3 linked regions of the Ovis aries genome follow. The protein of the gene in region 2 purifies or fractionates together with the protein of the main gene of each other region. This does not show direct contact. Links are inferred from orthologs where the notes say so. Each region holds a gene or a part of one and is shown on either strand. Other genes may lie near its edges.

Region 1 (4,240 bases), on a different chromosome or scaffold from region 2:
CAGCCCCTCTGCAGACCACTTTACAGGCTGTCTCCCACTCAAGCTTATGTAACTGGAGTTCTCTCCTCAGCTCCGATGCTGAGATTCAGTCTGTCAAACTGAAAAAGGGAAGGTACCCAGTCCCCACCCTGGCTCTAACCCCAGCATCCTGCCAGGCCAGCTCCTCCCTATCCTACTCTGTCACCCACTGATCCAGCCAGTTGAGGCTCTCCAGAACCGAGCAACAACGGGCTGCGGTCTTGGGGAGTGAAACAGAGCTCTGGGGTTTAGGTGACCTCCCTCATTCCTTTATAAAGAGCTCCCCTTTTGGTCTCCTCTCCGCCTTTGGCCGAGGAGGGTTTTGCTCCATAATTGGCTTGTTTACTGTCACTCGGAGTGGCAGAGGCAGGAGGAAAGTTTTGCTAGAAGTAAGGAAAGGGGTGTGTGCTCTGAGCGCTGAGGCTGCCGAGTAAACCCTCCAAGTGTCTAACAACCAAGAGCACGTGTGAGAAAAAAAACCACCAGGCCGACTGAAGATACCCAGCAGACCACAGGAGGGAAGCTTATGTGGGGCGCCTGGGAAAGATAGAATAACCAAAGCTTAATCTGCTCGCTTCTGCTGAACAGTCAAAAGCATTACTTGGCATTGCTCTCGGCAGGGAGCCAGTGAGTGCCCTCCCAACTTGGCTTCCGTGGGCCAGGCGCTCCAGTGACACCATTCTCGCTTGGCTCCAAAAACTTCCAGAGCTCCGAGAGCCCAGCAGACTGACTGCCCTGACTTTCAGGTTCTTCCCAAGGCAATGGGTGACTCGGTCTCTCCCCTACTGACCACTGATCAGCAGAGCCTGTACCCACAGGAAGGGAACCACTTGCTGAACCAGAAGCACATCGTCTGCTCCCCAACTCAGCTTCTCTGCTCAAGGGGTTCCCTCTGCCTCAAGGACCAAGTCTCCCCAGCTTTCAAGGATTTCCCCAAATGTTCCCTCCGCTGTGAAGGTTTTCCGGGTTCCCCAGCCCCTTCCCCACCCGACCCCAATAGGACCTGCTGGCTCCAGTACCACGCCCTAATCTCCCTGCCCAGGTGCTGGCCTCCTTGTAGACATTAGCCTCACTCCATCCTGCTCCCACACAGGCAAGTATGTCTTGCCCTGCTTGGATCCACCTGGGGCACAAAGCACACTTCCTGGCAGATGCTTAAGAGCTATTTCTGCTGGCCTGAGTGCCCATCTCTGCCGAGGCATGGGGAGTGCTGGGCACTTGGACAGAGTCACACGAACGGAACGCTAAGATCAGCAGACACAAGACAGGTCAGGATACTCGAGGTACCGCATAGAGGGATGCGGGAGCCGCATCCTGGGGCCTCACCCTTCTTGAACTCCTCCAGCATGGCATCCAGCTTGGTGTCGTGGAAGACGAAGTGCACTGGGTGGTTGTAGAAACGGGTGATGGTCTTGAGCGGGGTGCAGTCATCGGGATCCACGAAGGCCAAGTCCTTGACGTAGAGGATATCGACGATGTTGGACTGCTCGTCTTCAAACACAGGGATGCGGGTGTAGCCGCTTTCCATGATCTCTGACATGGTGTTGAAGTCCAGGATGGCATCGCTGCGGATCATGAAGCAGTCCTGCAGCTGGGTCATGATATCCTCCACGGTCTTGGTCCGCAGTTCCAAGGCCCCCTGGATCATGTTCAGCTCCTCTTTCACGAGGTCGTTGTAGGGCTCGGTCACCTTCAACATCTCCATCAGCTTCTCCCGATTGTAAACGGTGCGGATCTCCTGACCCAGGACGAAGTCCAGGAGCTTGCTGATGGGGTAACTGAGCGGGAAGGTGATCAGCATAAAGAATTTGGTGAGGATGATCGTGTTGGCACCCACGGCCAGCCCGTGTCGGGAGCACAGGGCCTGAGGCACGATCTCCCCGAAGATGACAATGCCAATGGTGGAGGAGGCCACAGCCACGATGCCGGACCCGATGAGGTTGTCTAGAAGGATGGTGAGGGAGGTGTTGACCAGCACGTTCCCCAGCAGCAGGGAGCAGAGCAAGTAGTTGCCCTTGCGACGGATGGGCTCGATCTTGCGGGCATAGCGCCGCTCCTTCTGAGTGCCACAGTTCTGCACAATGCGCAGCTCCATGGGGTCCAGGGCCATCAGCCCCAGATTGAGGCCGGAAAATATGCCCGACAGCCCCAGCAGCACCATAATGATGAGGATGTGCAGCCAGAGGGGCAGGAGCCTCCCAGGCTCCTCCACCATGAGGAGCAGCGAATCCTTGTCCGTCCACCTCTGCCAGGGCCCGTCCACGCCCGCCCGGGTGCACAGCGCATACAGTTTCATGTTCTCACTCCTCCGGAGGAACTTAGTGAGCACCACCAGCATCCCCGACGTGTCCCCGCGGCTCACGTTGACCAGCTTCTGGACGACCAGGTCCTTGGTGAGCTCGAGGCAGTCAGTGGAGTTGTGGAAGGTCTCAGCGTTGTCCACCTCAGTGAAGGAGATCAGGTTGCTAGAGAAGGAGTCCAGCCCCTGGCCGTACAGCCTCAGGTTCACCGTGCTGCCCTCGGACACGTAGATGATGCCATCCGTGTTTATCCCACACGATTTGTTGCAGTTCGTCAGCCTCATGCCCAGGATCGCGCTCCGCTGGGGGTCGCCCTGGCCACGGACCCCCGGCGCCCACAGCGGCACCAGCAGCACCAGCGCCGCCAGGAGGAGGCGCCCTCGGGCCGGCCCACTGCCGGGGCGCCCGCCCCCGCCCACCGGCGCCATGTTGCTCCGGCTCGGCAGCCGCCGCCGCTCCCCGCGCCCGCCGCGCAGCCCCGCTCGCGCCGCCGCTCCTGCCGCTCCGCCGCCGCTGAGCCAACTGTCCCGGCCGCGGGCCTGACGTCAGGTCAGCGCCCCATCTGCCCCGCCCCGCGACCCACGCCTCTCATTTGCATGGGAGGCTCCGCCCCTGGCGCGCGGCTCGCGCCCTCCCTTAAGGAAGTCCGGCATTTAAGGTGGCGTGGCGTGAGAGCGTGGGAGCAGCGGGAGGCTCTCCGCCCCGCCCTCCTCATCGCAAGCTTTTCCGCCCTCTTGGCGGGTCCTGCTCTCCTCCGCGCCGCTTTGCTCTGCCTATCGCACTGTCCGCTTCCGCAGCCTAGCCTGGCCTCGCTTGCTGGGCTCGTTCCTCTTCCCCAAAAAGCTGCAACGGAGGCGGTGACTCTTCTCTGTAAGAACCTCCGAAGCAGCACCACGTGGTGCTCGGGGCCAGAAAACTGCTTTTCCTGCTTTAAGAAAAGAAAAGGAGAACCCGAGAGCAGAGGCCTGAGGGAGGTCTTCACGTCCACAGACATTGTTCTGACCTCTGCACTCCTGGGGCTTTTGCCCACCTTGCCCAGAGGCCAGAAGTTGATCCCCCAGGACCAGGCCAGAGATCTCTGGGGCCAGTGGAGGGGAAGTCTGGGGGACCAGATGCAGGGAATGCAGATGGAAGGAGCATGGTCTTTCATTTCCCTTTAGGACACAAAGACTGAGCGCTCCGGTGCTGGGCACTTGTTCCAGGCTCAAACAATATAGCAGTGGATGAGCCAAAGATCCTGCCCCCTGGAGCTGGCAGTCTAGGATAGGAAACAGGCAACCAACAAACACATGCAAGGACTTCCCTGTTAGTCCAGTGGTTAAGAATTTGCCTGCTAGAGAAGCCCCTGTGCCGCAATGAAGACCCAATTCAGCTAAAAACATTTCTAATACAGAATATTTTTTAATCCTCCCAAACAACCGTAAGATATTTCCATATTACAGATGAAGAAATTGTGTCTAGGCACAAAGCAGGGCCCATCTAGACTGTTATCTTAAGAGCAGGCTTGTGTGACTTCAGTAAGACAAGTTGGAATGTCTCTAAGCCCCAGCTGCTTCTTCTGTAAAATGGGGGTAAGAATGATAACACAGGGACTTCTCTGGTGGTCCAATTGGTTAAGAGTCCACCTTCCAATGCAGGGAATGTGGGTTCGATCTCAGGTCCAGGGACTAAGATCTCACATGCCACAGGGCACCTAAGCCCGCAAAGCAACTGCAAGGAAGAGTGCACAAGCCACAACTAAGAACTGACGTAGCCAAATCAATAAATAAAAAGCAAGAAATGCTAACAGAGCACCACGTCACTAACCTTGTGGGAACAGCTGCCCTAGGCATGGGACAGGACAGGACGACTCTCTGAATGCTCTCTGACTATGCGGCTGTTATTGTTATTGTTGTTGTTGTTGTTATTGTTATTGTCTGCCC
Region 2 (4,047 bases):
TCAGACTTTTCTCTCCCAGACATATCCCAGGTGCCTCATAAAAACTCTGTCTCAAAGCACACACCCTAAGGCCCCAAGTGAGTTCCAAGGCAGAATCTCCACCCACATAAAAGCCTATCCTAACTTAGGCCCCAAAGAGCCTCAAGTCAGCATCTCCTTAAAGATCTACTCGCCTCCAGCCTTCAGTCTTTTGCATTAACCTCAACACCTCTTACCTGCACAAGCTGCTAGGTCACTGTGTGGATGAGAAACTTCAAAGAGAGACAACCTAGCGTGAGGGAAGTTAATGGTATAGTGGAAAAAATCAAAGACTATGGAGTCAGACTGACCTGGGTTTTTAATCTAGCTCCCATTCTTATTATAAGTTCTGACCTGGGACAAGTTAATTAACCTCTTTGAGTCTCCATACTGTCTCATTTCATCACTGAAGTCAATGAGGGCTCATCACTGTATCCCTAAAGTCTGGCAAATAGAAACCATATGTGTCAAATGAATGCAAATGAGAACACCTACCACCTTTTAATAGTAGCTGTGAGAACTGAACAAGAGTATAAAAAGCACCTGGTACACAGTAGGCACTTAATACTAATTAATCCAGTCACCCACCAAATGATAACAATACTACTCACTGTTTCTCAAAGTAGAGAGCATGCTAATGATCAAGAAAAGGACACAGTAAGAAATTTATAATTTCTGACTTCTAATTATATACAAATGCTTTTGCTTGTAGTTCTATCACATTGAATACCAAAAGGACCACACTACACTTCCAACTTCTAAGAGACTTTTCATCATTTCAGTATAAAATCCGTATCAAGGCACTCTTCATCAAGAACCCCTACTTCCTTCTACAACACAAGAATCTGGAAAAGTCCATGGCAATGATTAGTCCATTCACCATACAACATGAGACTACTTTTAAAATGAATACCAGCAAGCAACTTTTCACCATCTTCACCAACACAATGATTACGCTGGCAAGTGATGATGAAGCCTTAATTTCCTTTTGCATGTGGACTAAGGCATAACTTCACTGACTTCCTGTCTGAAAGACTCTGTAACACAGAGCAATGGAGCCAGTAACTACCACATTTAATCCAGCAGTAGCTACAACTTGGTGACTCCACACAGAAAAGCATTTGCTGAATGCATACAATGATGCTACAACTGCTATTTTACACATTTCTTGAAAAATTCTAGAAAATAATAAACTATGCTATGATTGAGCTTCATCATCAACATGCTACACAATTATTACTATTATTTCTTAAAAGCTTCTCTCCAGAAGGGTAGCAAGGAGGTAAAACCTAAAACACATTTCTTATATATTTACCTAACAATAAAACACCTCTCACCTGAAAAACTAGCAGTACTTTACAACAGTCTATCTGAACACTCAAAAGGCAAGAGTCTAGGATCCCAGGCAATACACAAACTTGTTTTAGCTAGCTTTCAGAACCCAGACTAGGGTGGGATGCCAACCAATCATGTGCTCGACAAATTTGGAAATTGATGTCCATGTTCTGAAATATTGGGGGGGGGGGAGGAGGAGGCACAGGGCCAGAAAATGATATTGCCACTGGCATAGACTTCTGTACCCTTTGCTCATACTTGAACCCAAGGACCCAAGCACAAGATGCTCCTGGAAAGAACTCCCTAACCCAGGACACCCAGGCTCGCTACGGCCCTAGAAAACGATCAAGGATGGCCCCCAAGGATGCCTGCTCACAGACTGGACAATCGCAGGCAGACACTTCCACGCTCCCTCATCCGCCTGCCCTTCACCTTCTCCCCGAGCTCTGTCTCACTCTGCTCTCACGTTCTCCCGCCCATCACTCTACCCCTAGCACGCAAACTCTCCCTCCCCCACTTACTCACGCTCCCCATTTACCCCACTCTCCCACGCACAAGCATTCTCCCCCCACTCACTCGTTCCCACATGCTCCCCGCTCCCTCTCCCCTACACTCACCTCCCACCCTCCTGACACTGTACCCCCTACCGCCCCCTACTCACACTTCCCCTCACTCTCCTCTGCAAGCGAGCGCGCGCGCGCACACACACACACACACACAGCCCCCCAACTCCCCCATCTGCACTTTCTCCCTCGCCACGCTCTCCCCACATGCACACAGCCCTGTTCCCCAACTCACACTCTCGCCTTCACACACGCACATTCCCCCCCCCGCCCCACACTCCACATTCTTGCACACAGCACTCGCTCCTCTCCCCTCCCACACGCGCGATCCCCCCCTCCTCACCCACCCTCGCTCTCCACGCTTCCCGGCCGCGCTCCCCCCGCCCCCGGCCCCAGCCCGGCCCTTCTTCCGGGGACGTGTCTCGGGCCTGCACTAATGGCTGCGGCGCCTCCCGCCCTCCCCTGCCCCGAGGCCCCCGGGAGGCGGCGCGGGGGGCCGCCCGGGAGCCGCGCAACTCACGCTGGCGAGCTGGGGACTGGGCATTGAAGTCTGGCGGCGGCGGGAGCGAGGAGGCGCCTCTCTCCTCAGTCACCTCGGCGGCGGCGGCGGCGGCGGTAGCGGTGGCGGCGACGACTCCCCCCCAGCCTCGGCGCGCGACACCCGGCCCGGCCCGGCGGCGGCGGCGGCGCGTGTCCACGAGTCCGTCTTGCTGCTGCTGCTGCTGCTACGGCCGCCGCTGCGTCTCCGGCTGCTGCCGCTGTCCCCGCTGCCGCCACTGCCCTGTGGCCTCGCCTCGCCCCGTGACCGGCCGCCGCTGCCGCTCCAGCCGCTACCGGACGGACGACGGTTACAGCCCCGGCCGATCGCGCCGCCGCCACCACCACCGCTGCGCGCGCAGCCGGAACCAGCTCCCGCCGCCGCCCCTCAGGGGGCGCTGCGGGGCGCGGCGCGCGCGCGCGCGCCCGCCGGCCCGCCCTCCGCGCCCGCTGACTGGCTGGCGGGCCGGCTCGAGGCGGTGGGGCCCGCCCACCTGCCCCGCGGGGCGCTGACCCACTGCCCTGGGCACCTCCCCCGCTCCTCCTCGTGGTTCGTTCCGATCAGCACTTCTGGCTGCGGAAGGCGCGTCCATGTGACAGGGAACGGGGGGGCGGTGGGCAGAACCTGACCGGGGGAGTCATTCGCCCACGCCGTGGCCCGCCCATCCGCACCTGGGCTGAGCAAGGGCCGGAGGCCGCAGGGTGACCCTCAAGGTCGAAGGGTGTTTTCCCGTGACCGGGCCGTGAGGCCTGAGGCCAGACCCTGATGGGACGAGGCGGAGACCGAGCCCTTTGCTCGGGGATTTCCAACCCAGAAGTGAGAACCGGGGCAGCTTAGTTCTTGGCTGCCCTTTCTTGAGGCCCCAAATAAATGGCGTGTGCGTCTGCAATTGCTCAGGATATTTCTGCGTGCTACTACCCTCACTCCCCGCCCGCGACACAGACACGCGCGCGCGCAAACCTAGGAATCCGAGTAGGAGATCAAAATTCAAACTTCCGGGAGATAGCATCTTGGGCAAGTTATTTCCTATCTTCGTATTTTCAACTATTAAATGAAAATGATTATCAGCTACCCCCTGGGGCTCTTTTCATTATGTATGAAAAATGCGTGATAAAGAGGAGACCCTGAATTTAAAGACAGGGATTATTCTAGAGCTCTCAGTATTCTCTCTTGCGTTTAGAAGGTGGGCAGAAATTCTTTGTCGGACCATGAATTAGGAGTTTTGGTTTGGAAGATGTGGTCACCAGTGACTTGGGAGATTGGTCTGGGTCATTGCCAGATGGCAGCAGGAAAGAAGCACTGGAGGCTTACCCTTGAGAGCTGGAGAAAAGGGGCAAGGGGCTCTGTCCTCCTCCTTCACCCTGGGAAGCCTCATCTCAGAATTGTCATTCGGATGCTAAGTAGTGGCCTACTCTTTGCAATCCCATGAAATGCAATACGCCAGGCTTCCCTGTCCTTCACCATCTCCCATGAGTTTGCTCAAACTCATGTCCATTGAGTCAGTGATGCCCTCCCAACTATCTCATCCTCTGTGGTCCCCGTCTCCTTTTGTCTTCAGTCTTTCCTAGCATCAGGGTCTTTTCCAATGAATCC
Region 3 (4,176 bases), on a different chromosome or scaffold from region 2:
AGCTAGCTACTTACTGGAAACATTTTTAAAGTCAGAATTTCAGTGATAACAGTATGAGTTGCTGGTTCGTTACACGGTAAAACAAACAGAAAACACCACTATGCAAGAAAGGTGAGCACACCACCCTCTGTACTTCTCTTTCCTGGTAAAGCTCCCTGGAACAGTGAACAATGACTCGCAGACATATTTCCATTTAACATACCAGGTGATCAAGGTTAAAAAGAACACTTTTAAACCAGAAAGTCTCAAGAAATTGACAAACCATAGAGGAATTAATCCCATTGTTAAGATCCAAACTTTCTGCCAAAACCACACTTGGTTTGGGAAATTTTATTTGTTGTTAGGTAAATGTAAACAAACAGTGAAGAAAGCTAAGCAATATAGAGCCTCATAAAAGGTTAACTTATCTCTAGTCTTTCCGAGTTATATATTAACAAATAGCTTTAGTTTAAACAACAACAACAACAACAACAAAACATCTCTTTTCCAGCGAAGGCAAGTCAACTAAATGAGTGATTTTCTTTAGTGATACCTGGCTTATCCCATACCCTATTCTCAAAAGCAGGCCCTAATCTCTCCCACAGGTCACCAGACAACCAGGAACTGAAGCAACTGAAAATGCACTTCCAATCTCGGAAATATCAACTGATTGCTCTGGGTTTAGAAAAGCCATTTAAACGTTCTCCAAATGCCTGAGTTTAGTACATAGCAACCAAATGGCACAGCATGGCATCAACGGGTCCCTTTTTTCATCTACCCACTCAGAATCCCGCAATGAATGCAGCAGATTTCTCAAGGCCAGAGTGCAGGGGGTAAGAGTACCATGAAAATAGGAAGTACCAGAAAATAGGAAGCCTGCTTTGATAGGGAAGGAAGCAAGCCAGGGCAGTCTTGTGGTTTTAAAGAACCTAGAAGCGCTTACTAGTTCAATCCACCCTCAAATCCATGCCACCCTTTCAACTTTACAATTAAAAGAGAGGAGAAATTCCGGTCAACTCGCCTTGGGGGGTTGGTCTGAGGGTAGAGGACTCAAGTAGGGAGGAGGATGGAGTGAGAAAGAGCAAGCCAATGAAAGGATACCAAAATTTTCCCACCTTTCTTAAATTCTTCCAGCATAGCGTCCAACTTGGTGTCATTGAAAACAAAGTGCAAGGGGTGGTTATAAAATTTCGTGATGGTTTTCAGGGGAGTACAGTCATCTGGATCCACGAAGGCCAAGTCTTTGACGAAGAGGAGGTCCACGATGTTGGAGCGTTCCCCCTCAAATACTGGAATGCGAGTGTAGCCGCTCTCCATGATCTCCGACATGGTGTTGAAGTCCAGAATGGCTTCGCCGGTGATCATGAAACAGTCCCGGAGGGGAGTCATCACGTCCTCCACCGTCTTGGTGCGGAGCTCCAGCGCCCCTTGGATGATATTCAGCTCCTCCTTTACGAGGTCATTGTAGGGGTCTGTGACCCGGAGCATCTCCAGCAGCTTTTCCCGGTTATAGACGGTGCCTATCTCCTGGCCCAGAACGCAGTCCAGCAGCTTGCTGACCGGGTAAGAAGCGGGAAAGGTCATCATCATGAAAAACTTGGTGAGAAAGATTGTGTTGGCTCCCACAGCCAGGCCGTGCCGGGAGCAGATGGCCTGGGGCACGATCTCCCCGAAGATGACGATGCCGATGGTGGAGACCACCACCGCCACCAGGCCTGAGCCAGCGATGTCGTCGAGCAGGATGGTGAGCGTGGTGTTGACCAGCACGTTGCCCAGCAGCAGCGAGCACAGCAGGTAGTTGCCCTGCCTGCGCACGGGCTCGATGCGCTTGGCGTAATTCTTCTCCTTCTCGGTGCCGCAGTTCTGCACAATGCGCAGCTCCATCGGGTCTAGGGCCATGAGTCCAAGGTTGAGGCCGCTGAACATGCCCGACAGGCACAGGAGCAGCGAAATGAAGATCACCTGCAGCCAGAAGGGCAGCAGGAACTTCTTTTCCTCCCCCACGATCATCTTGGTATCCTCGCCATCGTGATAAATCCAGGTGGTCTCGGCCCACGGTGGCGGCGGGAGCCCGGCCACCCCGGAGCCGCCCTTGCCCCCGACGGCGCTACCCGCGGACCCCGAGCCGCCGGCGCCTAGGGCTGGCGTGGAGAGCGACGTGCACAGGTAATAGGACTTGCTCTTCTCCATCTTGCGCAGCGGTTTGATCTCTATCTCAATGATGCCCGATGTACGGCGGTTGAGAATGATATGGGGCAAGATGATGATATCTGATGTGCGGATGCCGCAGCGCTGGGGGCCGCTGTCCGGCTCCGGCGGCGCGGGGCCCCCCAGCCCGCGCTCGCCGGGGCTGTGGCGCCGCCGCTCGTGCTCTGTGAATGCAATGCGGGACCATGTCTCGTTGTTGATGTTCTGCCCGTACACCCGCAGCTTGACCCGGGTCCGTTCGCTCACCCGCAGCGCCCCCCCTTCCATGAACGACACGTCGTTTGTGTCCTCCAGCCGCAACCCGATGATCACCGTCTCTTCGTTCTCGCCCACCGCCGTGCAGCCGCCCGCGCCGCAGCAGCAGCTCAGCAGTAGCAACGGCAGCAGCCGCCCCGCCGCCTGCAGGAGCCCCCGGCCGCGGGCGCTGAGGCTGCGGCGCGCCGCCATCTTCCAAGAGGGCAGTGCGGCGGCTGCCTGCCCGCCCGCCATCTTTACTTCGGGTTCACAAGCGCCACAGCCAATCATAGGGTGGCTGCTCCAGCTGCGGCTTCATCCTTCTCAGCCGGCGGCGCGAGCGCAGGCATCGGCCCTGGGGCGAGATTGCAATGCAGTGTTCGAACCCACTGCTCAGCAATCCGCCTCCCTGACTGACACTGACTCGGCCTGGGCCAGCACCGAGACCTCGAGGCTAGCGGGAGGGGGGAGAGGGTGGGGGGAGTGCCAGCGGCTCCTGCGAGAGGCAGGCCGACCAGCCAATCACCAGCAGGTGCCCGCCTTCCCAGCCTTGGGGCTGGAATGGGGGCGTGGCCGTGAGCGGCGCCGCGAGCCAATGGCAAGATAAGTGGGTGGGGAGACGAGAGACAGCGTCCTCCTCTGCACTCTAAGTTTCCAACTGAAAGGCGCGTGACTCTTGTGTATGTGCGAGGGGAGGAGGTGTGGCCAGCCCGGGCCCAAGAGCCAGTCACAGATGACAGCCGTACGAAAAGGGGCGGAGCCCGCCGTCCCGGCTGCCAATGCATAGGGGCCTTCTGCGAGTCTGACGGCTCGGAGGGGCCTCGGTAGTACTCCTGTCCCTAGGGTGGCCCGCAGGACTGATGTTCTGTGGCCCGAGGCTGCCGGCTCTCGCCGGGCCACGCTGCCGGCTCCCGCGTGCTCAGTGCCCGTGCAGAGAGGGCTACACCTTCCTGACTCAAGGTGCACATTAGCCTAAAATGAAGCCGAGGTACCTGCTGCGCCCCGCTTCTTTACTCCAGCACTCCTCTCCGCTCGGGATGAGCGGTGGCTGGTGGGCCCCAACACCACACCTACGCGCTCCGCTGGAGCTGCTAGCTTATCCTTAAGGGACAGATGCCCTCTGCAGCTCACGGTCAGGTAGCGCCACCTGCCGGTAGCACGGGCTCCCTGCAATGCTTTCCAGGTATGCTGCAAACCCAAAAAGGTGTTCAGGAGGTGGGGCAGTTCCTCATCTTCCAAGTTATAAGAATCCCTTCAATTTCTTACTGAAAATATATATTCCCTGGCCCCATTCCATACTTACTGGATGGGTAGGACTCAAGAATCTATTCCTAGTAGGCACTTGGGCAAATCTGGGAAATGGGACAGGGCGGACATCCTAAGCAGATCCATAAAGGCTCATTCTTAAACACACTGACCAAACCCTGCTAGGTTCATTGGTGGCTCAGGAGAAAAAAAAATCTGAAGACCAAGGACTCCCAAGCCCCTCTGTATCTGGAGGAAACAGAGTAGCCAAACTGGTTTTTTTTCTTGGAACTTAAACATCCAAAAAATTATTTCCATTTTTTCTATGCTGTAAGCACATTTTCCTTTCTGTAAAATTTTTATTAATTTCTAATAAGATATAACTGCAAGGGCCTCCTCACTGTTCTATCCTCTTCTACACCTGTCCCCTTCCCTTCTCAACCCACCAGCCAGAGTAGTTTTGTTAAATAAGCCACTGTCCCTTCTTTGTTTGAAACCCTACTCTGGCTT

What was found.
Region 1: the proteins of PTP4A2 (region 2) and CNNM4 purify together in Homo sapiens (affinity purification with mass spectrometry; 6 studies listed by BioGRID and IntAct, counting the BioPlex papers as one, with this or other methods). This does not show direct contact. The link is inferred for Ovis aries from reciprocal best matches to the Homo sapiens genes PTP4A2 and CNNM4.
Region 3: the proteins of PTP4A2 (region 2) and CNNM2 purify together in Homo sapiens (affinity purification with mass spectrometry; 4 studies listed by BioGRID and IntAct, counting the BioPlex papers as one, with this or other methods). This does not show direct contact. The link is inferred for Ovis aries from reciprocal best matches to the Homo sapiens genes PTP4A2 and CNNM2.

The regions. Positions count from the first base shown.
Region 1 is NC_056056.1:103,760,485-103,764,724, forward strand, and holds the start of CNNM4 (metal transporter CNNM4), read right to left. Parts: upstream 2,843-4,240; 5' UTR 2,747-2,842; coding exon 1,345-2,746; intron 1-1,344. UniProt on the Homo sapiens protein: Probable metal transporter. The interaction with the metal ion chaperone COX11 suggests that it may play a role in sensory neuron functions. May play a role in biomineralization and retinal function.
Region 2 is NC_056055.1:235,540,454-235,544,500, reverse strand, and holds the start of PTP4A2 (protein tyrosine phosphatase type IVA 2), read right to left. Parts: upstream 2,829-4,047; 5' UTR 2,437-2,828; intron 1,429-2,436; exon of another isoform or gene 1-1,428.
Region 3 is NC_056075.1:23,248,371-23,252,546, reverse strand, and holds the start of CNNM2 (metal transporter CNNM2), read right to left. Parts: upstream 2,843-4,176; 5' UTR 2,713-2,842; coding exon 1,095-2,712; exon of another isoform or gene 999-1,094; intron 1-998.